Diceros bicornis minor: one gene and its partners. The protein of the gene in region 2 purifies or fractionates together with the protein of the main gene of each other region. This does not show direct contact. Links are inferred from orthologs where the notes say so. Each region holds a gene or a part of one and is shown on either strand. Other genes may lie near its edges. The genes, in order: SPAG5, MYCBP, ARFGEF1 and ARFGEF2.

Region 1 (7,389 bases), on a different chromosome or scaffold from region 2:
GTTAAAATGGATTGGTTTCTTGGGAAGAGCAGGGCACGTGTGGGAGGGATTAATTCCAGAGGAGGGGCAAAAGAGAGAGGAAAAGTGGAGCTAAGCCAAAAAAAAAGGGAAAGAGAGGAGAGAGAAAAGGGAAAAAAAATTGACCTGATAAAAAAGTAATATGATAATCTATGGATATGTGTGTATATAAACATATACACACAGATAGATACACATAAAGAGATGCAAGAAAGGATTTTCAAATATGATAGTTATCTAAAATGGCAGAAACATTTTCATCCTTATATTTACACATCGTTCAAATATTTCAAACAATGAACATCTAAGATAAAAATAATCACGTTTTAAAAAGTAAAAAAAAAAGTTATTTTTTGGGGGGAAAAAACTTCGTCTATATTGCCGACTATATCAGGAGGTAACAAGCCCTCCAGTTAAGAGTAGGGAGACCTAAATTGAAGTCTATTTTGCTACTGTGATTAAATGGCTGTGGTTAAATTCTATAGGCTCTATGAAGATCAGTTCCCACTTAGTACTTACTTCTTTTCTACCTAAGCTGTACTAATATAGTTGCCACTAGCCACTTTTGGCTATCTAAATTAAAATTAAATAAAACTTAAAATTTAGTACCTCAGTCACATTAGCCACCTTTCAAGTGCTGAGTAGCCATGTTAACTAATAGCTACCATATTGGACAGCACAGATTATCAAACATTTCCATCATCCCAGAAAGTTCTATTGGACAGTTGGTGTTAGAGCTCTTTCAAGAAAGACTGCTCCAGGGCTGGCCCTGTGGCATAGCGGTTAAGTGCACGCGCTCTGCTGCTGGCGGCCCGGGTTCAGATCCCAGGGGTGCACCAATGCACTACTTGTCAGGCCATGCTGTGGCGGCCTCCCATATAAAGTGGAGGAAGATGGGCACAGATGTTAGCCCAGGGCCAGTCTTCCTCAGCAAAAAGAGGAGGATTGGCATGGATGTTAGCTCAGGGCTGATCTTCCTCACAGTAAAAAAAACAGAAAGACTGCTACTCTCATACATCTGTTACTCAGGCTGCCATGTGCTTTTATTCTTTCTTCCTCTAACCTATTTTATTTATGTCCCCTCTCCTTCCAAAAATAATTCAGACTGCATGAAAAAGAACAGATAGATGGATACATCAGGTTAAAGAAATACAAAAAGAAAAAGAAAAAGGAAGAAAATCTTCCTATTTCAGGGAGTAGCAGTAGTTATACCTGATGATCAAATTTGACCCTGAGCTTTCTAGAAGCCAGTTCAAGAGGGAAAATGTAAAATGTAGTAAACTACATAGTTGTCACTATCAGAAAGAGAAAAACAAAGCAATTTCTTCAGAATTTTCCCAGGCAGTAAGTTCTAAAGGAAATTTCTTTTTTAAATTTTTTTTTTTGGGGGGGTAAGGAAGATTGGCCCTGAGCTAACATCTGTAGCTAATCTTCTTCTTTTTGCTTGTGGCAGATTGTCGCTGAGCTAATATCTGTGCCAATCTTCCTCTATTTTGTATATGGGACGCCGCCATAGCATGGCTTGATGTGTGGTGTGTAGGTCCTCACCAGGGATCCGGGCAGCGAACCCTGGGCCACAGAAGTGGAGTGTGCAAACTTAACCACTACGCCACTGGCCCGCCCCTAAAGGAAATTTCTTCGAGGAACCTTATAGAGGGGTCACTCGCCTTCCTTGACAAGTTTTACAGCAAGTGAAAAGCAGTTTCTACATGGCAACTTCTCTCAAGACCTTTGACAAAAGTACAATTCAGTGAGGGCAATTCTACAAGGGGCTAGTTTAAACAAAGATGGTCCGGGCCGGCCAGGTGGCGCAAGCGGTTAAGTGCGCATGCTCTGCTGCAGCGGCCCAGGGTTCGCCGGTTCCGATCCTGGGCACACACCAACGCACCACTTGTCAGGCCATGCTGTGGCGGCATCCCATATAAAGTGGAGGAAGATGGGCACGGATGTTAGCCCAGGGCCACTCTTCCTCAGCAAAAAGAGGAGGATTGGCAGATGTTAGCTCAGGGCCGATCTTCCTCACACAAAAAAATAATAAATAAAAATAAACTTAAAAAATAAATAAATAAAAATAAACAAAGATGGTCCAAGTGCTCTGCCTTCCAGTGGTGTAACTTGATCCCAGGAGAGTTTTGACTCTCTCTTGGAATGGATGGACATTGCCTCACTCTTGCAGCTGACTGACCTCTCCATAAGTGAGCCCATATTAGAGGGAGACCCCTAATCAAAGTGATAGTATTTCTCAGTAGTTCAGTAAAGACTGAATGGGGGAGGAGGTGATAAAAACTAACATCTAAATAGAGGTCTGGGTTCTCAGCGGATTTCCTTTAACCACCCTAGGGCACCTCTCTGTTGGCCTGAATAGCTGTAAATGGATGTCACTGAGGTAGAAGACTTCATTATTGTTATTAATTACGTTCCAGCCCGGGTCCTCTATTCCTCTGAGCTCTTGGCCTCGGCAAAGAGCCCAGTCGAGAAGCTGGGCAGTCGAATCTCACCTGCAGCCCCAGTTTGCACAGTGATGGAGTCAGCGAGCAGCATATCGGGGCCCCTTTTCCAGAGTTGGTGAGGGCATCGGGCTGCAGGGTAAGTTCTCGGAGGGGAGTTCTCACAGCTGGTTTTCCCTGAGAAAGAAAGAGAGTGTAAGAAAGCCTGGCTCTGCCAGCCCGCCCTTCCTCCCTCCCTAAGAAGCCCATAGGGCACTAAGAAGAGTAGGCTTCGACGCCAGTCGCGCTGAAGCGTCTGGACCAACAAAAGACTCCACACGCCCCCGCCCCCAGGCTCGACCCAGCTTTCCAGCACACTCGGCACTGCCAGCGCCCCCGCCCCGGAAGCCTCGGCCCAGCTCTCTCTCCATGAGGCTCTCCCACTCACCGGCTGAGGCGAAGGCGACAGGCTAACGTTCAGTGTTTTCACCCGCCTCATCTTCAACACAAAACGCAGCCCGATCTCCTCCCAGACCCAAGGGGTGACGCCATGTTCACCCGCCGTCTGAATTTGAACCTGCTCCGCGCTTCCCGATTGGCTGCGGAGCCTCAGTGCGTCGGCCTAGCGTGTTTGCTCCGGGCTCGAACACGGCGGGTGAGGGGGCGGGGCCTGCATTGGCCACGCCCCCGCCCCGGACCGCGGTTCGCGCGCGGTCTCTGCGGATCCCGTACCAAAGACACGGGCAGGAGGGGCGACGTGCCGCAAGCCCGAGGCCAGTCTTATGGCCTCACTTCGGGGACGGTACCCAAGCAGCAGGAGAGTCATGGAATCCATCCCTCCTGCTTCCAGGAGACCACCCTCACGCCCTGACAGAAAAGTGGTCTTCGTGGCCTGGCCTCAGGAAGTCTCTTCTCCGGTGTCTCTTAGTTACCTCGCGCCGCAGCCTTGACCAGAAAGAGCGGGCCGGGTAGTCCGGAAAGGAAAGGTGAGTGTAGCCTTTTTTCCTTAGGCTTGGTCGGTTCGCGCACAGGTCCTGCGTTGGTGAGGGCCTGAGACGTAGTTCTCAACCTGCGCTGTAATTTAGCCTCTTCAGAATTTTTAGCGTGTTCTTGGGACTTACCTTGGGGCCTGCAACAAGTTTACTGGAACAATAGCTAACGGGTATCGCACATTTATTAGGTACCTGGCACTGTTCCAAATGCTTTATCGATATTAACTCCTTTAATCCTCGTAAGGACCTACGAAGTAGGTACTATAAATATCCCCATTTTACAGACGAAGGAACTGAACCATAGATAATGTAATTTGCCCAATGCCCCGCAGGGAGTAAATGGCAGAGGCAAGATGCCAACCCACACTACGAACTACTGCATTCTACTGTCGCTTCAGTCCCCTCTGTATGGGAAATCTAGCTATTTAAGAGGAAACTGATTGATTTTTGGAAACAGCCTAAAGGTAAGTATTCACAGTTATAGTTTATGATGAAATGTGTTCCTTTGAACATTCAGCATCTTATTTACACTCTGAAGTCTTAATGAGTTTGGAAAAGGCAATAATCCCAAGAGGAGGAACTGTAATCTGTTATGAACTGTAGGGCCCTCAGGGGATGGGCTCCTCTAGAAACTGTGTTGTCCAATACCTCAGCCACTGGCCACATGTGGCTAGTCCCAATTGAGATGAATTATAGGTGTAAAACGTAAACTAGATTTCAAAGTCTTTGTATGGAAAAAGTAAAATATCTTATTTTTTAATATTGATTAGGGCCAGCCCCCTGGCGTAGTGGTTGTTTGGCATGCTTTGCTTCAACCGCCAGGGATTCCTGGTTCCGATCAGGGGTGCGGACCTACATCACTCATCAGCCATGCTGTGACAGTCACCCACATACAACACAGAGGAAGAGGGGCCGGCCTGGTGGAGTAGTGGTTAAGTTCACACACTCCACCTTGGTGGCCCTGAGTTCACGGTTCAAATCCCAGGCATGGAGGGATGCACTGCCCATCAAGCCATGCTGTGGCAGTGTCCCACATAAAAATGGAGGACGATGGGTAGGGATGTTAGCTCAGGGCCAATCTTCCTCAGCAAAAAGAGGAAGATGGGCAACAGATGTTAGTGCAGGGTGAATCTTCCTCAGCAAAAAAAAAAATTAATATCGATTACATGTTGAAAGATATTTTAGATATACTGGATTAAATAAAATACATTAAAATTAATTTAACCCATTTCTTTTTACCTTTTTAATGTGGCTACTAGCAAATTTAAAATTACTTATGAGGTTTACATTATATTTCTATTGTACAGCACAGCTCTAAAAACAATGGTCCAGGCCGGCCCGGTGGCACAAGTGGTTAAGTGCGTGCACTCCGCTGCGGCAGCCTGGGGTTCCCAGGTTTGGATCCCAGGCACGCACCGATGCACCGCTTGTCAAGCCATGCTGTGGCGGTGTCCCATATAAAGTGGAGGAAGATGGGCACGGATGTTAGCCCAGGGCCAGTCTTCCTCACAAAAAAAAAAAAAAAAAGGTCCCAGCCTCAGGGCACTAGAGAGAACAGTTGCCTGAATGGAAAACTGGGAGAAAGACAACATAAGAGCACAAACTTGAGTCTGGGATTGCCCAGGACTCAGCAGAGGGAATCCCAAGGTATGTATACTTCTGGCCAATCGAAAAGATCCAGCAAAGAAAACAAGGGTAGGGCCGGCTCCGTGGCTTAGCGGTTAAGTGCGCGCGCTCTGATGCTGGCGGCCCGGGTTCAGATCCCGGGCACGCCCCAAGGCACCACTTCTCCGACCAACCCGAGGCCGAGTCCCATGTACAGCAACTAGAAGTATGTGAACCTATGACATACAACTATCTACTGGGGCTTTGGGGGGAAAAAAATGAATAAATAAAATCTTAAAAAAAAAAAAAAAGAAAACAAGGGTAGCAAGTGGCACAAAAACCAAGACAGAAAACTCTTAAGTGCCAGTAGTATTGTATTAGCTTGTATTATAGAAATGTGTAAATTGGACTGCTTAGTCCTTGTTGCAGTTGGTATGTCAGATGCCAGCAAATTAGGAGAGAGATGGAGGGGTAGATAAGAGGGAAAATACCATTGTAAATAGGTAACATAAACAGAATTGGTTTGTTGGTGTTGTTTGGATAATAATTTTTTTAATTTGGTGTTTTTCAAATTGTAAAAATAATAGATGCTTGTTATAGCAAGAGAAACAATTCAATGCAAAGATGTATTAAAGGCACAGCCTCCCCCATTCATTCTACCTGCCTGAGGTAACCAATAGTGTGTATACCTTTATAAAAACATATATGCATTCACACAGGTTTTGTCTTCATTTACACACACATATTTGTTTTTCCCAAAAATTAACTGATGTGCAGCCTGGGGTCTCTGGGATTGAGGGCTCATGCCTTTCTTTTTTTCTCTTCTCTTTCCACTTGCATTACTCCTCTCTCCCTTCCAGGTTCCCTTTTTCACATTCTTGCGCATTCTCTCCCTCCCTCCCTCTTTCCCTCCCTCCCTCTCTCTCTCATACACACACAAGGGAGGGGAAGAAGGTATTGAGTCCTTTACAAAAATGGCATTATTTCTTACACTTCTGCATTTTTTTCCTCACTGTCTAGTATAGAGTCTTCTAAGTCAACTGATATAGATCTAATTAATTGATTGGTCATTTCTTATTCCTTGCCCTTTTTAAAAAAATGTTACTTCTCTTTTCTAATTTGTAAGAGTTCTGTGTTATAGACATTAACTGTCATCACACTGCAGAATTTTTTAGATCTATTTTTTGTCTGTTGACTTTATTAATGATATCTTTGGCCATACAAAGATAAAACTTTTATGTAGTCAAGATGTTTATCTTTCGTTTTAGAGCATTTGGATCTTATCTGATTGAGTTATTCATTCATCAAATTTTTATGTAAATGTTTTTCTTTTTCTTTTATAGTGCTTTCATTTTCTGTCTTAGTTTAGGTATCTCCTCCATCCCTTGATTGTAGGTCTAGTCTCCCAAATGTTCTTCTAAGGTATTTAATGTTTTGATGATCACATTTAAATCCTTAATGTATCTGGAATTAAGTTTTGTATATGATATGAAGTAGGGGTCCAACTACTTAAAAGCAATTGTAGTTTTTAAATTTTCTGATTAGAGATTACTTATTTTATGAAAATCAAATTACATAACCCAAATCAGCAACTCTGAGAAGTATCCACCAGGCAGCTGAGTGAACTCAAGGATGAAACTGGAATTACTAGACCTGCTACTGTGTATGATGAAGTACTGAACAAAGGAGGCAGTGTGACAGCAGCTAATCAGTGGAGCTCTGTAAACCAGCAAAACTCATAGAGAGGCCAATGAAATCTAAAATAATTACATGTTCTCAGAATATAAGCAAAACCAACCTATAGGGAAGAAGATAGCATGCATTTTTGTAAATAAATAATCATTCCTGATTAATCTATTAGAACTCTTCATAGGGGTTGTATTAGTTTGCGAGGGCTGCCATAACAAAGTACCATAGACTGGGTGGCTTAAATAACAGAAATTTATTTTCTCACAACTCACAAAAGGCTAGAAGTCCGAGATCAACATGTCAGCAGGGTTGGTTACTTCTGAGGCCTCTCTCCTTGGCTTGTAGAGACTGTCTTCTCCCTGTAGCTTCACATGGTCTTCCCTCTGTGGGTGTCTTTATAAGGGTGCCTTTATAAGGACACCAATCATACTGGATTAGGGCCCACCCATATGACCTCATTTTAACTTATATCTTTTTTGTGTGTGTGTGTGAGGAAGATCAGCCCTGAGCTAACATCCATGCTAATCCTCCTCTTTTTGCTGAGGAAGACCGGCTCTAAGCTAACATCTATTGCCAATCTTCCTCCCGTTTTTTTTTTTTTTTTCTCCAAAGCCCCAGTAGATAGTGGTATGTCATAGTTGCACATCCTTCTAGTTGCT
Region 2 (7,532 bases):
TAAAATATATACTTTATGTTCAGTAGCTTCATATCCAGTAGCTCATGTCAGCACTACCTTGCTCATCTTCTACTGAACAAATCCTCCTGGAATTTCCTACTCAGATAAAAATCTCTCTAAAACAGAGGTTAATTTTTTTGTACATGGAACCCTTTGAAAAAATCTGATAAAAGCCAAAAAATGTTAACTACACACCAAAAATTGTGCATGTCTAGACCCCAAGTTAAGAACTCTTGTTGTAAACCAACTTACATGCTTCCCTTTTATTTTTTAGAATTTTAATAAGTCATCAAAATACAGACAGTATGAAAAACTCAAACGGGCAAGTACTTTTAACATCTTACATTGAGTTCTGATACTCTTCATCTCTCTAAATACACTGCCAGCACTATTTTTTGAGAAACTGGTATATCTGCATCACCACTACCCTCTCCTCTCCTCCCCTCTCTCCTTTTAATATGTTACAGTACTCTTTAATTCCTTTGCTTACTACTTTTTTCTTTAAATTATATACTCAAACCTGTTTTTTCTTTGATTAATTTCTACTGATCTCTACTGAATACTAATTTTATAAGACATGAATACTCTTACCCTTTCTTCCTCTTCTTCCCCCACCTCATTTCTTTCAGCTTCTAAATTTCTGTCAGTGGTACTTACAAGGTTGATAATTACAGAACATAATGTAAATGTCAAGTTTCCTGTGCTTTTCTATAGATAAAATATACTTTCTTTTAATCAGATAAGAACTCTATACCCAGTGTTCCCCTTTTTGCCTTACTAGCCACAATTTTTACAGGTTAATATAGTGCTCAAAATAACTAAAATGCCTCTTCTTCCACTGACTTATCTTTATCTTTATCCATCCTGTCTTTTACTGTTTCAATGTTAGAAGTAGTTTCAAATCCTCTTGGAAATAAGCTGGATAAAAATTATAAATTAAATCTGTGTAAAGTACTTATGTTTGAAGCTGAAAATCAAATTTTAAATTTTATCAATAGACACTATGTTATCTGATGTTATTTAGGAGACTGGAAATCTAGGGAGATTCAGGGATTACATACCAGTGGATGTGAGCAAGGTAAAAGAAGCCACCCGTGGTTTCCAGTCTCTCATAAAGAAAAATCCGTGTATGACCACAAGGCTGTACATCTTCAGTTACCTCCCACAATGGTCACTTCTCTGCCCTTTACCATTTCTATCTTTCACTCACTCCATCTAGCCACTCTGGCCTCCTTAAACATCCAGGAACTCTTGACATCACATACTATTTCATTCAGGTCTCTGCTTAGATGTTACTTAAGAGAGGCCTTCCCCCACTGCCCTATATAAAATGGGACACACATCCCACCCCATCTCTCTTTATCCCCTTACTTTGCTATGCTTTTATTCATAACACCACCAGCTGACACTATGAGTTTATTTATTTGTCTCTCCAACTAGGATATAAAAAAATTCATTCAGAGCTTGGCCTTTTTTTTCCCACTGCTGTATCTCCAGTGCCTAGAACAGAGACCTGAATAAAATGGCTAAATAAATGAACTTGTGAAGTTTTTTGAAGGGAGTGGATTGATGCAATTCCAAGCATCAGTGACACTTCCAGAGACAACAGAGCACGAGGCTTTCATAGAGTAGTCCCTTAGTGTTTGGTAAAATTTGCAAAGAGATAGGGAAACTAGTACCTGAACCCAAGGTAGGTAGCAATTCAAAATTACCAGCTGATGCTTAGGAAGTGAAAGCCCTGCTTTCTGCCAAGACTCAGAGTTATTCCTCTCCCAGAATGTTCTCCTAACCTTTGCTTCTGGCGAAAGAGCAGTTAAACAAATTATTTCCCAGACACTTACTATTCTCATATGGTCCCAGATCATCATCCCTGCCAGTTCTTCTGTTCTGCACCATTGAAAGTCTCAGCCAATGAGTGATACATAGCAGGCATTCAAATTACTGCTGAGCTAATGAAATAAGCAGTACCCCAACCGTCTCTTGGAACCCTCCTGTTTCAAGAACCTTACTCATCTACTTAGATCTTGAACCGTGGAGGAAGAGATACAGTGTAACAGTAAGCTTCCATTTTAAAAAGTGAAAACAATATAACCATGTTGATGTGCCCTTAAACTCTTTAAACTGTAATTCCACTTTAATTTTGAAATCTGCACAAAGCAGGAATTGATACACACTAGGAAACGGGAGTTGAAAAGCCACAGCCAAATTGACTATGAATCGCCTACTTTGGGGATTAGGCTTACTTAGCTACTTCATGGCCCACTTTCGAATCTGGTAATTTTCCCACTTGCCCTTTGTTCCAGAGAAACTGTTTCTTTACAGGATTTTGAGGACTTCGAAAATTGTGAGGAGGAAGGAATTGGGATCTCCAGGTCTTTAGCAAACATGTTCACTGCGGCTGCTCGAGGCAAAGCAACGGAAGTTAGAGACTTTGCAACAGCTGCAAGAGTTTCACTCCTGGCCGGGAGATTGGTAGCGTGAGCGAGGCTACCCCACCCAGGCGGCGTCCGGCCCCGCTGAACCCCGAGGCCCACCTTGCTGGACCCCGGACGGGTCCTACCTGTTGCCCCTCCTTCCCCACGCCACCGCCGTGTAGGGCGCAGCGCCGAGGAGCACGACGAGGGCAAGAGGAGCCCTCTCCTAGCCCATGCTCACCGTTGGTCAGCGTGTCCAGCACCCCCGACTTCTCCAAATACCTCCGGAACTGCTCGCGCTTCGAGTCGGCGGCCTGAGGAGACACGGCGGGTCAGCGGCCGAAGCTCGGGGGCCGGAGCAGGAAGAAGGCGCTGGGAGTCCGGCAACCCCGCCTCCGCCTCGCTACCTCGGGCCCCCAAAAGCTGCGCGCGCGCCCCCACGCCCACCCAGAGCCGAACAGCGGCTGGCTACCGCCCGCACGCCCCCAGCCACGCCGCGCCCCCCTCACTTTGTAATGGGCCATAGTGACAGCGGCAGCGGCGTAGCTGGCGCCCGGGACCGTGGCTGGCGGGCTCTGAGCAGCACTGCTCATGCGCGGAAGGGCGCGCGCGCCTGCGCACTTGGGAACCTTGGGAGGGGGGTGGCAGGGGTGTGGCCTGTTTTCATGGCGACGAGGACGCTCTGAATGCCCCATGGTGGGCTGAGCCGAGGGAGGCTGCGTACGCCCGCCCCTCTAGCTACCGGAGCAGCACCTCTCCTTCCTTTTCCGGTCCCGGCAGCGACTCGGTTGCTTAGGGAGAGGCGAGGTTTGGGTAACTCGGGACAAGAGTCCAGGTGGGGTCAAAGATGGGCATGGAGCCCAGGAGCCTGAGGACTATTGCAGGCGGGGAGGATCTCCGGACAGTAGTAGTGGGCGGACCCGTCTCAATGGGAACCTCGGAAGCCGTGGTCTTCTTGACTCTCACCCTGAAAAGGTGCCCACAACTGACGCAGGGCGACTTGGCCGACTCGATGTGGGCTCGGGAGGGTGAGTGGCACCATGTAATAATAGCACTTATGAGCGCTTACTGTTTGCCAGGCGCTGTGTTAAACACATATGTTTCTTATTTTAATCCTCAGACCCTCCCTGAAAGGTAGGTACTGTTAGTAAAGTGGCAAGGTTAGGTAACTAGTGAGTAGTAAAGCCAAGACTCCTATCTGGGTACTGGATCACGATGCTATAAAGAGGTGAAAGAAAGCCACCAATCTAAGATTTTATTTACTAGACAGCAACATTATGACTATATTCAAGACACATCAGGTTGCAATCTAGAAGGAAACTAAGTCCCTGGGCAAACAAAATTTAATCAGTGTCCAGAAATAAAAGATTAGTACCTAAAAGGGGGAATTATATATAGATCAAGAACAATCTTCCTAATGCTGTGCTCCCTTCAAGGAAAAAACTAGTTCCAAACCATTTAGCCTCGATTCCGAACATGTGATTTTCCCAAAATCAGTTTTCAGGAATTCTGAAGGGAGCTTCTGAAAAAGTAATCCTGATTTGGTAACTCTATGTCTTTTAATTTAAAACTACCCCTTCACAATTCAGAGTTAGAGCCGTTTTCCGTTTTTGAAATGAGTTTGCAGTTGTCTGTAAACAGCTGGTCTTTAGAGCTGCCATTATTTGTTTTGTCTATGCTCCACCACTACTAGGCTACTTCTATGGTAATAAATATGTAGACTAAAAGCCAACAGCTGTTCAGATCTGAAGGTCTGTGGGAGCCCTCCTACCACTGAGGTTGTTTGTCAGCAACACTAAATGATTTGGAGGACAAGCAGTAGGATTATTGCAGGTTCTGACCGACTTGGATTCAAAGGACAACTCTCCCAAAGAATCAGGAGTGTCTGGAATGTCAGGTGGTTGGAAGTCACCCTGTGAAGGAGGAATGGTTCTGATTGTGCTCTCTCTGAACTGGCCCCTGAGGTTACCTTTAGGAGGTGACATCTGTTTTTCATCTTCTGTAGAGGGACCCCATGTAGCACGAAGCCACCTGGGTTTCCAGGTGCAGTTAGGTGGCGGAGAGAAAGCTGTTTGGGATGACTGCCCCACGTGGTTGTCCAGATCTATAGCAACACCTGGAATAGAACAGTGACCTTTAGAGTAGTGGTTTCTTTTGCTGTCTTTGCCGTCAGTTTCTTTTTTTTCCCTTAACTGGTTACCATTAACTTCTTTTCCAAATATTTTATGAGTGTCTTCTTTATTACTTGAGCCGATGTGTTGAAGATGACTACAGGTAGTACTAAATGTGCACATATCTTTAGAAAATACAGTTTCCTGTTCATCCAAAATGCATTTCTCATCATTTCCACTGTGATTGTCAGGATCCGCTTGAAATGCAGATGCATTTAAACTAGGGTGCACTGCTATGTGCATTTGCTTTTCCACTAGCAGATTACAATCAGTTGCAGAAGAGAGTTTCTTCAGTGAATTTGCAGATGTATTTTGATATTTGGCAAGATTTTGTTTTGACTTGTTCACATAGAATTTGTTATGCTCATCGTTCAATTTATATTGTCCCAAAAGCCCTCTTTTAATCTTTTTAAAACCTAGGTGGAAAATTTCTAGAACATTTAAGAAAAGTGAAACGGTGGCTATGGATTGCATAAATAATAGGAATATTGTCTTCTCTGTGGGTCTTGAGACAAAACAATCAATTATATTTGGACATGGGTGGCCATGGCATTTAAACAGAGGATCTAAATGAAATCCATATAAAAGATACTGTCCAATCATGAATCCGACTTCAACCACAGAGCGAGTGAAAATGTGTATCACATAAGTGCAAAGCAACGTTCCTCTAAGCGGAGCTTTGTTTAGTTTCCTTTGCTCCAGCTGACAAAGTTCTTGCTCCAGTCTCCTCCGGTCCCCAGGCATTTCACACTCGATCCCCTCCAGTTCTCCTCTCAATTGAGCTTTCTTCCTCTGTCTCTCTTTCTCCAGAACTCTCAGTCGGTACAAAGCATGGCCCACGTAGACCAAGGATGGTGAAGACACAAACAGCACCTGCAAAACCCAGTATCTAATGAGGGAGATAGGAAAGGCCTGGTCATAGCATACATTTCTGCAGCCGGGTTGTTCTGTATTACAGACGAAGCCAGATTGCTCATCATTCCAGACATCTTCAGCTGCTACACCCAGAACAAGCATTCGAAATACGAACAGGATGGTGAGCCAGATCTTTCCAATCATGGTAGAGTGGATGTGAACTTCCTCCAGAATGCCTCCAAGGAAATTCCAGTCCCCCATGTTTGTTTAGTCAGCCATCTTAGGTCTGAACCCCATCAAATAGGACGCAGGTAAATTCTTCCATTCTGAAGGGCGTGCTATTTCTTGAAGCAAGCCTATGGCCAAAATATGAACAAAGCATCACTCTTTCAGTGTGTTGGTTGTTTTCCTTTTCCCCTGGAGAGCTGTGATAATCTGTTACCAAGAATATATTTAAGATGTCAGGAATTTAAAAGCACTTACGTTTAGACCTCATAATGCAATGAAAAAAAAAATGATAACCTGGGGTGGGGTGTATATATTCTCTGTGAAGAATAGAACTGTAGGATTCCCTATAAGGAGTTTTCTTACTTAGCTGTTGTTGTTTTATTTTTTCAAACTGAGAACTTTTGGAGAGGTTCCTAAAACTACTGACTTAATCTTACAAACCTATTTATTAAGATTATATAAAAGTTACAACCAAAGTCAATGATTTTAAAATCTCATTTATGCACAAAGGAAAATGAATGTGTTTCATTTGATAATTCAGTAAGATAACAGCATTTAATGAAACCAGAAGAAACAGATCTGGCTCTTGCTATAGGAATTTAGATTAGTTCTTTAATCCACATTTAAACGTCTAAATTCCGGTTTCTTTCTGGCAGTTTTTGGGCATTTTTAGAAGCCATTTCATTAATATATTTGTGGATATAAATATAAATTTATATCCACATAAAATTCTTATTATACTTTGCTATGAAAAATTTTGTAAATCTTTATCATCTTAAAATGAACTCCAAAAATTCTCAACTATTTTGTACTACCCGATTGTTATTAGATATTACTTGAAATAAATGGATCATTGTGGTGGTGGTGATATCATAGAAATTTTCATTGTAACAGTATTTGACCTATTTAAGACATGTAGCTTGCTTTTGTGGAGGGAGCACTGGGGCAAGTTATAATTTAGATGCTTGGATTATCAACCAGTAGGTTCCATATTAAGATATCCTAGGATACCTAAGAGTAAATATATCCCAAAGGAAAGAAAAAAAGAGTGAATGTTTTTATCTACTTTCATGTGAATAAAATATAAATGTATGTCCTATACCCTTTATAGAAAGGGAAATGTTACACTATCAAACATACTAGGATACTATAGCTACAAGATATGTTCATCATAAAGATCCTATGAGGTAGGTATGTTGTTTCCCTGTTTTTACAGATAAAGAAACTGAGACACACCTTAAATTACCCAAAGTCACACACCTAGAACTGGCATTCAACCTCAGTCAACGTGGCTCTAAGGTCAGCTCTTAATTGTTTTACTAGATTGTTATTTTTCCTCTTTAAGCATACTTGAAATTTGCATGAAAAAACATTAAAAAATCATCTGCTTTCTCTTAAAAGTTTAATTATTTAAACTAGGCATGTAAAATAGTGATAATTTTGACTTTTTAAATAACTGGTTCTGGAGTCTTAAGTTCCCTTTTTAAAGCTTTATATAGTTAAAAAAAAAACTTGCAAAAGCATCAGCCTTCTAAAATTTAGTTGTATTCCTGAGATAGAGAAAATTTCTATTTGACTTCATTATGTTAATAATAGTATACTCGTTGACTCAACAATTCAAAGGACTTTAAAGTGTAAACAAAGATATTATTCATGTTGTTTATAATAATAATAATTTGAAAACATCCAAAATAATTATCAATACAAGAAAGGCTGTATTGTACATAATAAATTACAGTACAACCACAGTGTGGTACTATGCAACCAGTAGACTTGATATACTAATATAAAAAGATATTTGATGTATTATTTCAGTGACATTCAGGTTCTAAAATAGAATAGTATGGCCCCATTATTGTAAATG
Region 3 (7,610 bases), on a different chromosome or scaffold from region 2:
GTAAAGAAAGCACTCCAGTGCCCAGCCCCTGCCTGGGTAGTCACATTCCTCATACTAAGCTTCTGCTAACAATATGGAAGAAGCAAAAAAGTAAAAACTGGCAAAATCTGGAATAGAGAATCCTGGTAAGCCAGCACACACACTACCAAGTAGTTCTTATGTCTGAAAATGCCAAGAACCAAGCTATAGGCCCTCTAAAAGGGCCAATCAAGAGGGCAGGAATACTCAATGCACAAGTTAACAGAACAGTGTATTCATATTCATGGCACATTACAATCATTAAGTTCAATATCCTAATTTTACAGAGAAGGAAACTAAGGCCCAGGGACTTGACTATATTGTAAAGTAACAGAACTGGGATTTAAACCTAAGATCCCAGACTCTCCTTCCAGTGAGCTTTCCATTAAAACAAACTTACTTATATTAGGATTTTGGAGAGGAAAAATATACAGACACAACACACTCCATTTCTTCAGTCTAATACTTATAATTTAGTATATTAAAAATATACTCTAACATGGAAAATCTGGCCTCAATCTCTTAAATTCTTTAATTTCTTTAATCTGCAAGTTATTCATAAATTCTTTAATCTGCAAGTTATTCATAAACCTATACATAACAATTCTTTAAAAAAGTCTAAAATAAAATCACTCCCTCTCTCATCGTGCCGCAATTTAATAATTATTCCTGTCAGGAACCAGATATAAATCAATTTTTACCATTGTTAAATGTCTTCTCACACACCTGGAGGTCTTTTGTTAGCTACAAGAACAACAAATGGTAAACTTCTGATCCACAAGGGGCCAAAAAACTAAACTTTACTACAGATTCAAAATTTTTAAATGAAATTTTTTCAATGTTTTTCATATCACCACATTTAAGGATTCAAAAAATAAGGGAAAAAACAGCATAGCTTATTACAGCAAGTTAAAAAGGAGCCTATTTATTTTAATAATTAAAAGGCAAAGTTACTTTTAAGCTGTCTTGATCCTCTACTTTAGCACACATTTAAGTTATTCTGGATTTTTTCACCCTCAAGAACGCTTTTTTCCTCAAAGCCCATTTAACAAGGTTCATTTTCTCATCAATTTGATCAAGTCTATTTCCAGAGCTATAAAATAAAACGTAAGCATTAGGAATTCATCTTCGTGTTAAATGTCCTAGTCTCGCCTTAAACGATTTCATCTTTGATGGATGCAATAGATCTGTCAGCGTTCCCCCCTGAACAATTCCTCCGCTGCCCGTCCTCGCTGTAGGTATTGTTTAGACTGACCCTGCTCCGGGCTTCATTACACCAGATCTCTTCCGTCTGAACTATAAATCACAATTCAAGCTTGAGAGCAGCTGCCCCTGTCCAGACATGTGGCTGGTGGGTGTCACTGTCTTTTTCATTTTCCCCATTTAAACCCTCCTTTCCTTGTCACTAAAACCAGCTTATCTAAAGGTCCCTTCCTTCCCCGCTTTTATATCGCAACCCCCACCCCTTAACCTCTGGTCTTGTTCTTCCAGGTCAGCCCAGTCAGATAAAACATTACTCTATGTTTTTCCTGTGGCGGAGGCGGAGAGATGTCAGAACCGGCTACACCTCTCGCAAAGCCCTTCTCAAGACTGTCAACAACGGAACAACTTCAGCCTGTCTTCCCAAAGTGCCACGCCAAACAATAAAGTTATTGAAATTACGACTCGGAACCCTTCCCACGCCCAGTCGCGACAAATCAGCTCCACCTCAATTTCCAAGCTAATAAACAACAGCTCATCTTCTGCTTCATCACAAAGGCTGGTATCCCGCCCGCACCGCACGGTCCACCGACAAAATAACCTCCCACTCTCCAGTCGAGTCCAAGCCCAGCTCACTGCCCTTGCTCCTCCGCCCCACATCCAGCCGAGTTGCTGTCAACTCCAGCCGGGCAGCAGGGAGCTCGGCGAGGGCTCCCTGAGGTCAGCGGCGCCGGCCTAGGGCGCACCCCCAGGCGACCCCACCTCGCGCGGGGCCGCCGCGCCGGCCGCCACCCCCGCCCCCGCCCCCGCCCGGCCTCTTCCCCGCTCACCTAACGCCACCTCACACGCTTTGCGCAGCTGGGAGTGATGCGCCTTCTTCACTTCCTTGTCGGCCAGAATCTTCTCCAGGGCCCGGGTCAGGAACATGTTCTTCGTCTTCTTGCCCTCATACATGGACGCAGAGGAGGAGGCAGCGGCCCGTCCGACCCGCGGCTCCCAGCGGCTGGAGGGGGGGCGGAGGGGGAGGAAGAGCGGAGAGAAAGGAGAGGGGGTGGAGGTGGGGGAGAGGAGGCGTGGAGGGCAGCGGCAGGATCAGGAAGGGGCGGGGGAGCGGGACCAGCCACGGTGCAGGCGAGGGGCGCCGGGGTCTTCACCGTCCCCCGAGAGGCCGCCCCTGGAGGGCCGCGCCCGTCGGACCTCCGCTTCTCCCGGCCCGGGAGTCGCTGCCCGGCCACCCCCCTCACTCGCCCCTCCGGCCCGGGGGCGGCGAGGGAGCCCAGCCTTGGCGGCCGTGTGCCGGGGGCCGAGGGCCGAGGCGGCTCAGAGGCCCGGCGAGAGCAGGGCTGCCCTGGCTACTGTGGGGATTAGCACCCGCCGCGGCAGTGGACTGGCCTCCATCACCGCCGACCTGCCCCGGCCGCCATGTTGGGAGGAAACGACGCGTCACGCAGCGGCCGAACGGCTGCAGAGGAGGAAGCGGCGGCGACGGCGCTGCCTGCCCAGAGCTGCCGCGGCGCCGGGAGGCAGGGGGCGGAGGGCGGCGCGGGAGGAGCGGCCCGAGCCGCAGCGCTACGGCGGCCCGGCGGGGCCTCGCCGCCTCCCGCGTTCGCCTGCAGGGCGGCGTGGGGCGTGGCGGGCGTCCTGCGGCGCCGCGCCGGGCACCTCGGTCTACTTGCGGCGGGTTGGCTTCGGTACCCAGGACCCCTTGGTATCCTTGCTCGAGCTGGGTGAACAAGATTCCAGGCTGTGCTGCATCCGCTTCTCCAACTTCCTGGAAATCCGGGTGGTGGGAGTGCAGTCCCTTCCGCTCCAGGGGTCGCGGAAACACGCGTGTCGCCCATGCTCAGCCGTACTGTGTTCCCACCCGCCGCGCTCGACTCTAAATTTCCTTCCCAGATGCAAGAAACTGCTCTCCAGGACTATGCCCACCGACTACCTCAGGGGAAGATTCTCCCTTGGGAAGAGTAAACTAAAACCAGTTTAACAAGGATTCCGGAATGTTTCACTTTTTCATCTCTGTAGGATACATCGGTAAACTAGATTTCGGATCCTTTCTGAATTGAGTTAAGCGAACAGGTGAATGCTTCTGATTGACGAGGTCCTTGAAAGCTCTGTTTGTGTGCCTTTAATACTAAGATGCGGTCCAGGACGTGAAAACCAGTTTCAGAATGGAAAAGCTTTAAGTACAAACCGATTACCCCACACGCACACGTGACCATATGTCTGCTTTGGCACGAAAGAATTCAAATCCAAAGTGTTTCCTTCAGAGCAGAAAATTATAAAGAATACCCTAAAAACGTATGCGAAGAACTTATTTACATGGTGATCTAGGGGCATGTCTCCAAGCTCAAAGCTACTGTGTGCCCCGATCAACACAGGGTCCCAGATTGTCAGAATGTGTTTCTCACTGTTCTGATCCATTCGATTGCCTTGACTACCGACTTGTCCTAATGCAGCTATCCAAACCCAAGAATGGAGAGGCTGTGAAGTGACAAGATTTGGGACAGGCGAAAAAACATGAGAAATAAAAATGAAAACCTTAAAGCTGACCCCGAATTAAAGTGGACAAATAGATTAATTTCTAAAACTTTCTGGTCCTGAGAAACATCCATAAATTCATTAATTTCATTTTCAAGACTATCTCTAACTTCTTGGAAATTAGAGATTGAATATACTTCTAGATCAGATGTAATATTGATTTCCATGTACACTCTGATAGGTTATAAACTTTTTGAGAACAAGCTTCATTTCTAATTTATCTTAGTTTCTTCATGATGCTGTTGTTGTGCCAGGTACTGTTGAAGGTGCTAGCTGATCACCAAATCCATTTACTCTTCTCAGTACAGAGGTACCTTATGTTCCTCCCTTGCAGTTACGTGTAGTCATCCAGGCTTAGCTCATTTAAAAAAAAAAAAAAAAGTCTTCCACAAACAATCTTCCATGCTCTTTCCTCTTCAGCATGGCTACGTGCTGAAGATGGCAGAGCCACAAGTTAGAAGGATCCACCCATCGGGAATATTTGTTTTGGACTTACTTAACATGAGCAAAGTAAACTCAGCTATGTTTAGCAGCTAGCTTTATCCTAAACAATACACTTGGCATTCATTAATGAGTAATACAGACAGAGATCTTGGCTCATGAAGAGCTCAGATTCTACTGCATAGCACATATCACAATCCGTAATTATCTTGTCTGCTTACTTGTTTATTGATTGGTGATCTGTTTCCCTCATAAGAGCAAGGACCTCATCTGTCTATTCACTTCTATATGCCTAGCATCTAGTATAGTCACTGGCACAGAGAAGGCCTTTTGTAGAAACTTGAATAGAAACTTGAATGAATGAAAGACACTGGCCTAAGTCAGGCATGATCCTTGCCCTTGTGGAGTTTACAGTATATAGTAGCAAAAAGGATATTAAACAAGTAAATCACTAATAAATATATAATTACAAATGTGTTAAGTATGATTAAAGAGAAGAACAAAATGTTATGAGGAGATCTTTAGATTTTGGATTCAGGGATGGCTTCCTGAAGAAGTAACATTTAAACTGAGACCTGAAGGAAATCAGCCAAACTAAGTCAGGCAAGAACTTCCTAAGCAGTCTTGGGGTACAGGGGAAGCTTGGCAAATTTCAGCAACCAAAACAAGGCAGTGGCTGAAAGTTATCAAGGGGGAAATGGTGCCAGTAAGGATAAAGAGGGAACTAGGAATCAGATCCTACGTAACCTTGCAGGCCATGTTAAGGGTTTGGGATTTCATCCCAGTAGCAATAGAATTCTATAGAAGGGTTAAGTAGGGAATGAAGTGATCAAATTGATGACTTAAAAGTAATCCCTCTGTTGTGTGGAGAAGAGATTGGAAGGGGACAAGACTGGATGTGGGCAGAACAGTGAGGAGGTGATTACGACAGTGCAACATGGCTTAGGCTGGACCAGGATCAGCATGCAATGTTTGGGAGATCATGCCCTCCACAAAGATGGCAAATGGGCTGAAGTCCAGCTCCAGCATCTGCCAGGGATAAGGGGCTCTTTTTTCTAATTTGCATAAAGATTAGATGGACCAGTGGTGTCAGAGTGATGGCAGTGGAGATGGAGCGAAGCAGACAGATTTGAGATATTCTTTGGTGGCAGAATGAACAGGACTTAATAATGAATTGGAATGAAGGTGAGAGAAAGGAAGAGGTCACAAATGAATGCCATGTTTCTGACCAGAGCCAGTGAATGAATAGAAATGACCTCTCTCCTCCTTTCTCCTCTTTTGCTGAGTCTAGAACTTCACCCAGAAGATGGTGGTAATGAGGGGCAGGGGTGGAGGGGCAGGCGGGAGACGCAGCCTTGGGAGGTCAGTCACTCTCACCCAGCTTGAAACTCAAGATGTTAACTCTGACCTTCCTGGAGCAAAAAATAAGATAAGACTCTAAAATAAAGCTGATGTCCTTGAAAGATAAAAGGAAAGACAGTGTTTGAGGGTGCCAGACTCAGGCAATTTTTACACAAAATTATGAATATATTTCCCTGTATGTATGTTTCCTTTTATTTTTTACTATTGTCGTTGCTTGGTGGTTATTCAACCTATTTAAATAAGAAATCCAATCTCAGTATTTATTTGCGTTTGACTCCTTGCTGTTTTCAAAACATTCAAATTCAAATTCTGTATTTATGAAATGCCTATCATCCTCTATTTTTGCCTCTCAGTCTGCAATCTCACCTTTTTATCACCTAATTACCCCATATCATTTTCCCTTTCGTCTATCACTTTGCTATATATTAGCTATCTTAACTTTTCTCTTTAGGTAATATTCCCACTTTAGTTCCCAAAGAAGTCAAATAATACCAAACAACAAAAGATTTGATCTGGGTTTTAGCATCTGGTTGGTGTGCTTTATCATCATCCTTTTAAATATAGATATAAGTTTGGTGTAACATAAAAATTAAATAAAATGTGCATAGATTTTTAATTAATGCTGAGTATATCTGATTGATGTTAAAAACCAATATTAGTTAACATCAAAAATAGCATCATGTTCACTTGACTAAAATAAACTATGACGCCTTGAGTAGTCTTTCACATGATCTCTAAATTCTGTTAGCTTTCAAAACATTCCAAATGATAATAATAATAAAGATTTATATAGAGCTTATTATGAACCAGATACAACAACTCAAATGAAGAAGTTTCCATTATTATCTCTGATTTATAAGTGAAGAAACTGAGACACAGAGAATTTAGATAACTTGCCTAGAGTATACAATTAATAAGTGGTGGAGCCAAGATTACAATTTGGAAAGTCTGGCTCCAGGGCCCATACTCTAAACAACTAACTATACTGTGTCTCTAAACAGTCATTTCTTGTAGCCTCCTTTTCTGCCGACTCCCTCTTCCCCTGCACCACTCAAGTTCCAGCACATTCCTCCTCCAACTGCCCCCCTTCCCTTGCTTCACCCCCACACCAGGTGTCCATACAAACACCAAGCTTATCTGCACCTGGATGCCTTTGTTTATGTTTCAGCAATCCAGAGCGCCCACCACCACCTTTGTTTTGTTTGCTCTCCCCAAAGTCTTCCCAACCTTCAAAGCCTCTTTGAAATTCATCCCCTTCTAAGTTTTCTCCTTCTGCCTCCAATAGCACCAATCCCACCCTTCTCTGTCCTTTGCAGCATCATCTATCTCACACTTTACCCCTAATTATATATCCACGGTAGTGTTTAATCAGACTGCAAATTTTTGAAGACCAAGGATACAAGATAAAGCAGGCAACTTAGTAAAAGATGGGAAAACATTGATTAAACAGAGAAATATATCACTTTTGCTGAGACCACAATAGTGACATGACTAATGTAAGAAAAGCCATCTCCAAAGTAAGTCATCTGCTTTCTTGCTTTTCATATGAAGAAGCTTGTAAGCTAATTTGATATTCCTCTTTTATCAGTCTGCTACTTTTCCTCTTGTTTATTAAGGAAATAAATGAATAAAGTGTGTCTTCAGACTCAGAGGTTCTGCTTACTGTTCTGCAGGAAAAGTATCAATACACTGGACAGGGTAAACAGGGAAACATGATAGATTGAAGAATTTGATTTGGAAAGAAAAGATAAAAAAAGCAAGCAAATATTTATTGAATGAGAGACTATAATGTGGTATTTAATAGGCCCCTGTTTTGTTAGATTTATAACCAAGCATTTCACTTTTTGGCTCTATTGTAAATAGGATTTAAAAATTTTTGAGGGGCCAGCCCAGTGGCACAGCGGTTAAGTACACGCGCTCCACTGCGGTGGCCCGGGGTTCGCCTGTTCGGATCCCCGGCGTGCACCGACACACCACTTGTCAAGCCATGCTGTGGCGGCATCCCATATAAAGTAGAGGAAGATGGGCACTGATGTTAGCCCAGGGCCAAT
Region 4 (7,941 bases), on a different chromosome or scaffold from region 2:
CTTTTAGTTGTGTAATTACATTCTTATTTATTGCCTCTACAGACCGAACAGAGCAATAAGTCATTCCTGAACAAGGAACCAATGGAGGTTACGAATATCAAGCTAGCGCGCTTATAGTTTCTGTGGTTTGTCACAGCTTAAAATAGTAATAAACATAAATAATAGCAGCAAGCCTTTACCGAGCACCTACGACACACCGAGTTCTCGGGACTTGTCAACTAACCTCATTTTTATAATAACCCTGTGAGGAAGGTATAAGATCTGTCCAAGATCACAGAAAGCAAGTGGAAGGCAAGGGCTCTGAACCCAGGCAGTCTTAAGTCCAGAGAACACGCTCCTAATCTCTATACTATCCAGCCCTGCAGCCCTGACTCCCTACCCCAATACACTACAACCGGTGGAATCGTACCACAGAAGCTGTTTCCTGTAAGTGCTCTCTATTATCCAAGCATTTCAACTTTAAGCGGTTATTTACAGTTCCTCTTATCAAAATTAACAATAATCTACACATGGTAATCTCTAAAATACCAGCCACATTGCAACACTTCTTATACAGACTGGTTTCAGCCACTTTTACTGGACACAAGATGGTGCCTTGAGATGCAGAGTGAAATACCACCAGGTACTTTGCTCTATGTTTTCTATTGTGTATAAGTAAAAGCAGTCATTTCCATTTAACAGCAATGACACACAGTTACTCTCTTAAAAAAGGTGTCCAGTTTAGCTCAACACCATGCAGAGGTTCCCTTATAATAGTTGCTATTACCCAATTTGATAATGATGAGCCACCACGTCATTTTGCTATTCATTTAACCCGCAGTCAAATTTCTTCCTATATAGGCTACTTCTCGCAATTCACTACTGAAACACTGAACGTGCATTCCACAACTTAGCTCGGAAAAATCTGAACTTCTGAACAAAGATAAGATCCAAAAATAGCTCATAAGCTCTCAATGCTATGGCCCTTAAGACAATTCTATAAGTAGGTTCCAACAATGTGATACACGATTTTGTGAAAATTTTGTTAAGTTTTCTGTAGGGGGAATGAAAACTTTTCTGCCAAATAACTATTTTGAAACTTCTGCAACAATACTCTTAAGGCAATGTTGAGAGGGTAGAAGATTTTAAATTATTAAATAAGATACTGCATCTTTTATCATACATGTATATACGAAAAGAGTATTATTAGAACAATTCAGTTAAAGTTTTCCACATTTCCAGATTTCAAAGTGGAGTTATAAGTATCAAGCTTTTGCCTAACTAACAAACTGCTTTGTAGTACTTATCCTGCATTCCTGATAAAACAATATCCAACAGTTAGCCTTAGGTTTTCTGAACTGAAAAGCTTTAAAAATCTAAATCTCAGTAAATTCCTCCCATTAGTCCTGAATTTCACAGAACTAGCATCTGTTTCCAGATTATCTAAGCAACAACAATCTCTATATCAATAGTTCTGGACCCTTGAGGGAAGTTTCAGACCCTTTAAAAAACCTGATGAAACCCACAGACACTCTTCCCAGAGAAGTGCAAAGTTCACAAGCACATTCCTAGGCCCCAAGAGAATTCCAGCGCTGTGCCTTGCACCAAATGAAGGGAGAAAGGTGACGGCAACCTCACATTCTGTGATAGAAAATCAAACTTTCTCGGGCAATTTGTTAGGAAAAACAAGTCTTTTTACTGATTCCAAACCAAAGGCATTGGGGTGGCGAATTAACCTGAAGCCAGCTCTGGTCAAATGTTTTGATCCTCACCGCCCAGAACTCTCTTCTCCTGAAACTCCACATGGCGGATACTTCTTGCCTTTCAGTACTCAGCTGAAAGATCGCCTCCTCAGAAACGATTACTTTCTTGACCACCATATCAAAAACAGTCCTCAGCCCCTCTTTCCCCCATCTCGCTCTTTTATTTTCACAAAAATACTTATTAGTATTCAAAAATGTCTCATTAATTTTCTTATATACTTATTCTGTCTCCCCTATCACAGTATAACTCCATAAGGGCAAACACCTTGTCTGCCTTGTTGCCCACGACAGCGCCTACCACAGGGCCTGGCACACAGTGGGCGTGCGGTAAATACGTGGTGAATGATCGAAACTGAAAGGATGTTGATGTTGGAATCAACTAGTAAGGTTTTAAGGAGCTAGAGTTCTCTCTCTGTCTCCGTAATCTGTGGGTCCATTCGATCAGCATCTACTACGTGCCCGGTACTGTTGCGCGTGCAGAGGGTCCAGCGATAAACAAAACAGACAAGTAGCCTTGCCCTCACAGACCCTCTATTTTAATGGACCGCCCGAAATAAGCAGATTTCTTGCACACTGCAATACTTGGGAGATGCAAAATAACCCTCTACATTCCTTCGTTGAAGGAGTTATGGAAGATCCCCAAATGAAAGGAAAACCTTCTCCAATCCGTCACTTGCAAAGCAAGCCTCAGGGGTTTCCCTAAACCACTTGGGCAGCTCTTCGCACCTGCTCTGCTCACACAGGGGAACCCCAACCAGCAGAGCGCAGGTGAAGAAAAAACTTCGGACACGGGCTACCGCCTCGGAGGGTGGCGACGGAAGGAACCAGGAAACAGGACGGCAGAGAGTGGCGGGCAGAGCCCTGGGCTGGGAGGCTGGAGAGCCAGCCCTGGCTGTCACCAACTTGCCAGGTGACCTTGGGCCAGTCTCGAGCCGCATCAGTTTCCCAGGGGGCTCATGAGGAGGCGGGGAGGTGGGATTCGGGTCGGGGGGAGGTGGAGCCCAGGAGGCCGGGCGGGGTAACGGCCGGCGCGGGGCCGGGCCGGGGCAGCTCACCCACCGAGCGCCACCTGGCAGGCCCTGCGCAGCTGGGAGTGCTGGGGCCGCTTCACCTCCTTGTCGGCTAGGATCTTCTCCAGGGCCCGGGACACGAACATGCTCTTGGTCTGGCTCTCCTGCATGGCCCTGGCCCGGCGGGGGCTGGCGGCCCCGCGGACGGGCGGCGCGAGCGAGCGGGCGAGCGAGGCTGCGGGTCCGGCGTCCCGGCCAGCACCGGCCGCGTCCGTCGGCGCCGCCCCGTCAGGAAGCGATGCCGCGGCCCCACGGCGCCGCCATGTTGGAGCGCGTCACGTGACCACGTGACTGGCGGGGCCGCTACGGCCGCCGCGCGTCCCTCGACCCCGTGACCCCGCCGGGGCGGGGCCTACGGCTGGGGGCGGGGTGGGGCGGGGCCAGGTGGGCGAGAAGGGGAGGGGCGAGAAGGGGAGGGGCGGGGGAGGGAAGGGAAAAGGAGGAGGGGAGGGGATGGAAGTGAGTGAAGGCAGGAGGCGACGTGAGGACAGAGGAAAGGGGGTGAAAGGGCGGAGAGGCGGTGATGGGGTCAGAGAGGAGGTGAAGAGACAGGCAGTGAGGAGCGTGGGAGTGGAGACGATGGTGTAAGAGAAGAGACGAGGAAGGAGGGGAGATGGGAGGAGAGGAAGGAAGGAGGGGAAAGAGAAGATTGGAGACAAGAGAACTGCTGAGAGGTGATAAAGGGGCAAGAGGAGGTGGTGAGGATGAAAGAGGAGGTGAGGGGGAGAAGAGGAGATTGAGTGAGAGAGAGGTGATGGAGTGAGAGGAGGTGAGGAGGAAAGAGGAAGGGGATTAGAAGAGGAGGTGAGGTGGCTAGAGAGGAGGGGAGGCGTGGAGGTAAGAGAAGCAGTGAGGGGAGAGAGAGGTGGAGATGGGGTGAGAGGAAGTACAGGGGCGAGGGGAGAGGAGGTAGGAAGGAGAGTTGGAGAGAGGAGCAGAGAAGAGAGGAAAAGAAGAGGAGATGAAGAGAGGGATAAAGGGAAGAGGGGGGAAGTTAGGAGAAGGGAAGAGGGATGAAATGGAGAAAGAAATGGTGTGACAGGGAGGTGAAGGGGAGGAGGTGAGAAAGATTGGCAAGAAAACCTGGTGTGATGGAGAGAGAAATGGAAGGTAGGGCTTGAGGGCTGGATGGAGAGGAGAGGTGAAAGGAAGAGAGGGAGGGACAGGAGGTGTGTTCATGCACACTCTCCAACACGGGAGAGTCAGCAGGACACACACACCTTCCACACAACCTCCTGTCACCGCAGTTGAGCCAACTCCTGGCCTCTGGTTTGGTGCCCTTCTGTGTATCCAGTGCCACATCTGTGCACGGTGCTGCCCGTGAGAACCACCCCACGTGTACTTCTCCCCGGAGTGTATCCGTCTGTTTTTGTAAACCTGTAGTTCCTCACAGTGCTGAACAGGGCAGGGGGTATTTGGGGGCGACTGACAGGGAAAGAAACAGAGATGGCCAGTGTCACACAGCCGCAAATGTGTGTAAGAAGACAGATATTCTGGCCCCAGGGCACTTTCCACTCCATCCCACTGCCCCTGATATCACACCACCCCTGGCGATGTCCTCGAGCCTCTCCTCTCACACTGCCCGCCTCCCCCAAGGGAAGCTGTGGTGCTGTTGGGTTCACGCAAGGACCATGTGTTTCTTGGAAACCTCAGAAACTTCCCATGCAGGCATGCTCAAACACTTAGGTCTCAGCTCAAGCATCTCCGGGAGGCCCTCCCCGACCACTCTGTCTGAAGTAGCCCCCCTCCCCCATTTGATGTGTTTCATAGCACTATCTCACAATTTTTACTTGTTGACTTTGTTGTCTGACTAGGCTGTAGGCCACAGAGGGGCAGGCTGTATCCTCAGGGCCTGGTCTAGAGCCGGGTAGAATGTTTCATGGACATGAATTCCATGGCTGTAATGCAACTTTGCAGTGCCTCCTGTCAAGAAGTGGACTCTGTTTCTCCACCCCCTTGGTCTAGGCTTGTCACTTGTCTTGACCAATAGAAAGTGGAGGAAGTGAGGCTGCCTGCGTTCCAGAGCCTAGGCACCAAGAGACCTTGGATGCTCAGGAGCATCTGGAAGAAAGAGCCCATGAAGAGAGAAGCCCAGTCATCCCAGCTTTCCGTGCTGAGCCCAGCCCCCAGCCGACCCACCAGCTGAATACAACAGCTTGTGTAACCCTGGTGAGACCTGGAGGTGAAAAACTTATTAATAATGATCTAAACCTAGAACGCACATCTACTTTACATAGAAACACAAAGCATTTTTCACACAGTTTTAATATGTATCGAATTTTTCAGGAATGCAACTATTATTGTAATTCAAGGGAAAACTGCATTTTGTGTGGAACTTGAACAAATGTTGTTCACCAGTTCAAAACCACATCACCACCATTTATGCAGGCCCTGGTATTTAAGTCGCCATGACAGCACACCTGATCAGCCTGCATTTGTAGCTGTCGTCATCCCAGTTTCTGCTTTTAGGTGCCAGTATCTGACTGCTTTATTATATCTCTTAGTGTAATTGTGCCTGAGCATTTATATATGGAAATAAAATTTGCAAATTATACATTGCTTTCCTTTTGTTTCATCCTTGTTCGTTAGGTCATTATCTTTTTAAAAAATTATGTGTGTAGGAAGATTTCATTATCTATAAATTTTATTTCAGAATAGTCGAGGGAGACCTCGTAGTTATAAAAGGGGTGTGTGGTGTCTCTTGGGGCTAGAAAGCCCTGCTCAGACTGCTAGCCACGTCCCATCATTGTGTTCTCAGCTCAACATCAGCTCAGCAAGGGAAGCTTTCATCAACCTCCCAGTCTTATCACTGCTACCCCCACCCCTTGTGTCCACATCGTCTTGATTTATTTTCTTTATTGCACTAAACCAAATTAAGTTTCTGAAATGTAAGTGAAATGGTGGTGTTTATTTATCTGTGTATCAGTTGTCTATTGCTACATAACAAATTACATGAACACTTAGGGGCTTAAAGTCAAACATTTATTATCTCATGGTTTCTATGGGTCAGGAATTTGGGAACAGCTTGGGTGGTTCTGGCTCAGGGTCTGTCATGAGATTGCAGTCTCATCTGAAGGCTTGACTGGAGCTGGAGGAGCTGCTTCCAAGGTGGCTCCCCCACCTGGCTGTTGGCTGGAGGCCTCAGTTCTTCGCCTCTCCACAAAGCTGCTTGAGTGCCCATGATGTGACACCTTGCTTTCCCCAGAGTGAGTGATCCAAGAAAAAAGAGAGAGAGCTCTTAGGAAGCTGCAGTGATTTTTTTGACCTAGTCTCCAGAGTGGCTCACCATGCAGACTGATCAAGGGTGCTGTTTTGGGGACTCAACCATGATTGGCGTGAATGTTGGTAATGTGGTTTTGAAATGGTGAATGACATTTGATAAAGTCCAGACAAAATATAGTTTTCCCTTGATTTACACATAGTTGCTTTAGAAGTGAGTGACGAAGTCCAGCCCACACTCCAGGGGAGAAGAATTAGGATCCACCTTTTAAAGGAAAGGTCTGTTTTCACGTGACTTTGTTCACTTGCCGTCTTGTCTTGCCCGGGTAGAATGTGCATGCATGAAGGCAGAGACGTTGTCTTGTTCACAGCTCTGTGCCCAGAGCACGCGGAAGGTGCTCAATAACCATCTAGGGAATGAATGAATGAATGGAGGTGGCTGGATTGGAGTCCACCAGATTTAATCATTTAATCATTAAGTTATTTGGGAAGCAACTTCTGTGTTTCTATGGTAGGCACAATTATGGTCCTCAAAGATACCCACATCTTAATCCCCAGAACCTTAGGGGGCAGAAGGGACTTTGCAGATGTGATTAAGTTAAGGGTTTTGAGATGGGGAAATTATCCTGGATTATCTGGTAGACTCGATGTACTCACAAGGGTCCTCACAGAGGGACACAGGAGGGTCAGAGTCAGGAGGAGGTGTGATGATGGAAGCAGTGATTGTGGGGCCACAAGCCGAGGAACACCGACAGCCTCTAGAAGCTGGAAAAGCCAGAGAAACGGATTCTCCCTTACTGGCTCCACGAGGAACACCGCCCTGCTCATCTCGTTTACACTTCTGACCTCCAAAACTGGAAAGGAATAAATTTGTGTTGCTTTAAGCCACTAAATTTGCGGTAATTTGTTACAGCAGTTAAATTTGAATTACAGATAAATAATGAATACTTTTTTTAGTATGAGTATATCCCAGGCAATAATTGGGATGTAATTATATTTTTTAAAATATTCACTATTTACCTGAAATTTAAATTTAACTGGATATGTTGTATTTTATCTAGCAATCCACTCGCAGTCTCCTTTTGCCCAGCAGCAGTGGTGGACCCATGAGGCAGTTTTGAAACAGCAGTTTTGGGCTGGCCCTGTGGCCTAGCGGTTAAGCGTGCAGCCTCCGCTACTGGCGGCCCGGGTTCGGATCCCGGGCCCGCACTGACGCACCGCTTCTCCAGCCATGCTGAGGCCACGTCCCACATACAGCAACTAGAGGGATGTGCAACTGTGACATACAACTATCTACTGGGGCTTTGGGGGAAAAAAAGGAGGAGGATTGGCAATAGATGTTAGCTCAGAGCCGGTCTTCCTCAGCAAAAAGAGGAGGATTAGCATGGATGTTAGCCCAGGGCTGATCTTCCTCACACACACAAAAATAAATAAATAAGTAAATAAAAGAAACAGCAGTTTTTCTCAGCAGAGCAACAAGAGGGAAGGCACCTGGGTCCCTGACATTCTGGAGGGTCATGCCAATCCTGGGGCGCTTGCCTGTTGACTTTTACATGAGATAGACATAAGCACCGTTTATTTTTGGTTCCCCATCTCTTGCAGTGGAAGCTACTCCTAACTAATAAAGCCAGCAACCAACAGTGTCTGCTCTGACTCCTGTTTTCCTCTGAGTAATGTCTCAACTTGGTAACACGCGTCAGTCACTTAATGTCCTGTGGCTGTTCCTGTAGTCGGCCCTTCCAGCTGCCAGCCTGGTTCTTCCCACGATACACAGACTCTTGATACGCTAGCCACACCAGAGGACCTGCCCCTGCTCCCACAGCGCCTCTGTGTGTCATTGCTCCCTTTGGAATTTACTTATTTGCTGTGTTTACTTTAAGGCAAAACTCCAATGCACCCTCTCGATTCCC

What was found.
Region 1: the proteins of MYCBP (region 2) and SPAG5 purify together in Homo sapiens (co-immunoprecipitation; 3 studies listed by BioGRID and IntAct, with this or other methods). This does not show direct contact. The link is inferred for Diceros bicornis minor from reciprocal best matches to the Homo sapiens genes MYCBP and SPAG5.
Region 3: the proteins of MYCBP (region 2) and ARFGEF1 purify together in Homo sapiens (co-immunoprecipitation; 4 studies listed by BioGRID and IntAct, with this or other methods). This does not show direct contact. The link is inferred for Diceros bicornis minor from reciprocal best matches to the Homo sapiens genes MYCBP and ARFGEF1.
Region 4: the proteins of MYCBP (region 2) and ARFGEF2 purify together in Homo sapiens (co-immunoprecipitation; 4 studies listed by BioGRID and IntAct, with this or other methods). This does not show direct contact. The link is inferred for Diceros bicornis minor from reciprocal best matches to the Homo sapiens genes MYCBP and ARFGEF2.

What each region holds. Positions count from the first base shown.
Region 1 is NC_080757.1:18,899,013-18,906,401, reverse strand, and holds the start of SPAG5 (sperm-associated antigen 5), read right to left. Parts: upstream 3,006-7,389; 5' UTR 2,944-3,005; coding exon 2,893-2,943; intron 2,643-2,892; coding exon 2,517-2,642; intron 1-2,516. UniProt on the Homo sapiens protein: Essential component of the mitotic spindle required for normal chromosome segregation and progression into anaphase. Required for chromosome alignment, normal timing of sister chromatid segregation, and maintenance of spindle pole architecture.
Region 2 is NC_080752.1:52,679,807-52,687,338, forward strand, and holds the start of MYCBP (C-Myc-binding protein), read right to left. Parts: upstream 3,008-7,532; coding exon 2,924-3,007; intron 2,729-2,923; coding exon 2,656-2,728; intron 1-2,655. Other genes in the region: GJA9 (gap junction alpha-9 protein), read right to left, coding at 4,154-5,701. UniProt on the Homo sapiens protein: May control the transcriptional activity of MYC. Stimulates the activation of E box-dependent transcription by MYC.
Region 3 is NC_080772.1:19,746,448-19,754,057, forward strand, and holds the start of ARFGEF1 (brefeldin A-inhibited guanine nucleotide-exchange protein 1), read right to left. Parts: upstream 3,020-7,610; 5' UTR 2,173-3,019; coding exon 2,049-2,172; intron 1-2,048. UniProt on the Homo sapiens protein: Promotes guanine-nucleotide exchange on ARF1 and ARF3. Promotes the activation of ARF1/ARF3 through replacement of GDP with GTP. Involved in vesicular trafficking.
Region 4 is NC_080758.1:12,954,800-12,962,740, forward strand, and holds the start of ARFGEF2 (brefeldin A-inhibited guanine nucleotide-exchange protein 2), read right to left. Parts: upstream 3,010-7,941; 5' UTR 2,923-3,009; coding exon 2,802-2,922; intron 1-2,801. UniProt on the Homo sapiens protein: Promotes guanine-nucleotide exchange on ARF1 and ARF3 and to a lower extent on ARF5 and ARF6. Promotes the activation of ARF1/ARF5/ARF6 through replacement of GDP with GTP. Involved in the regulation of Golgi vesicular transport.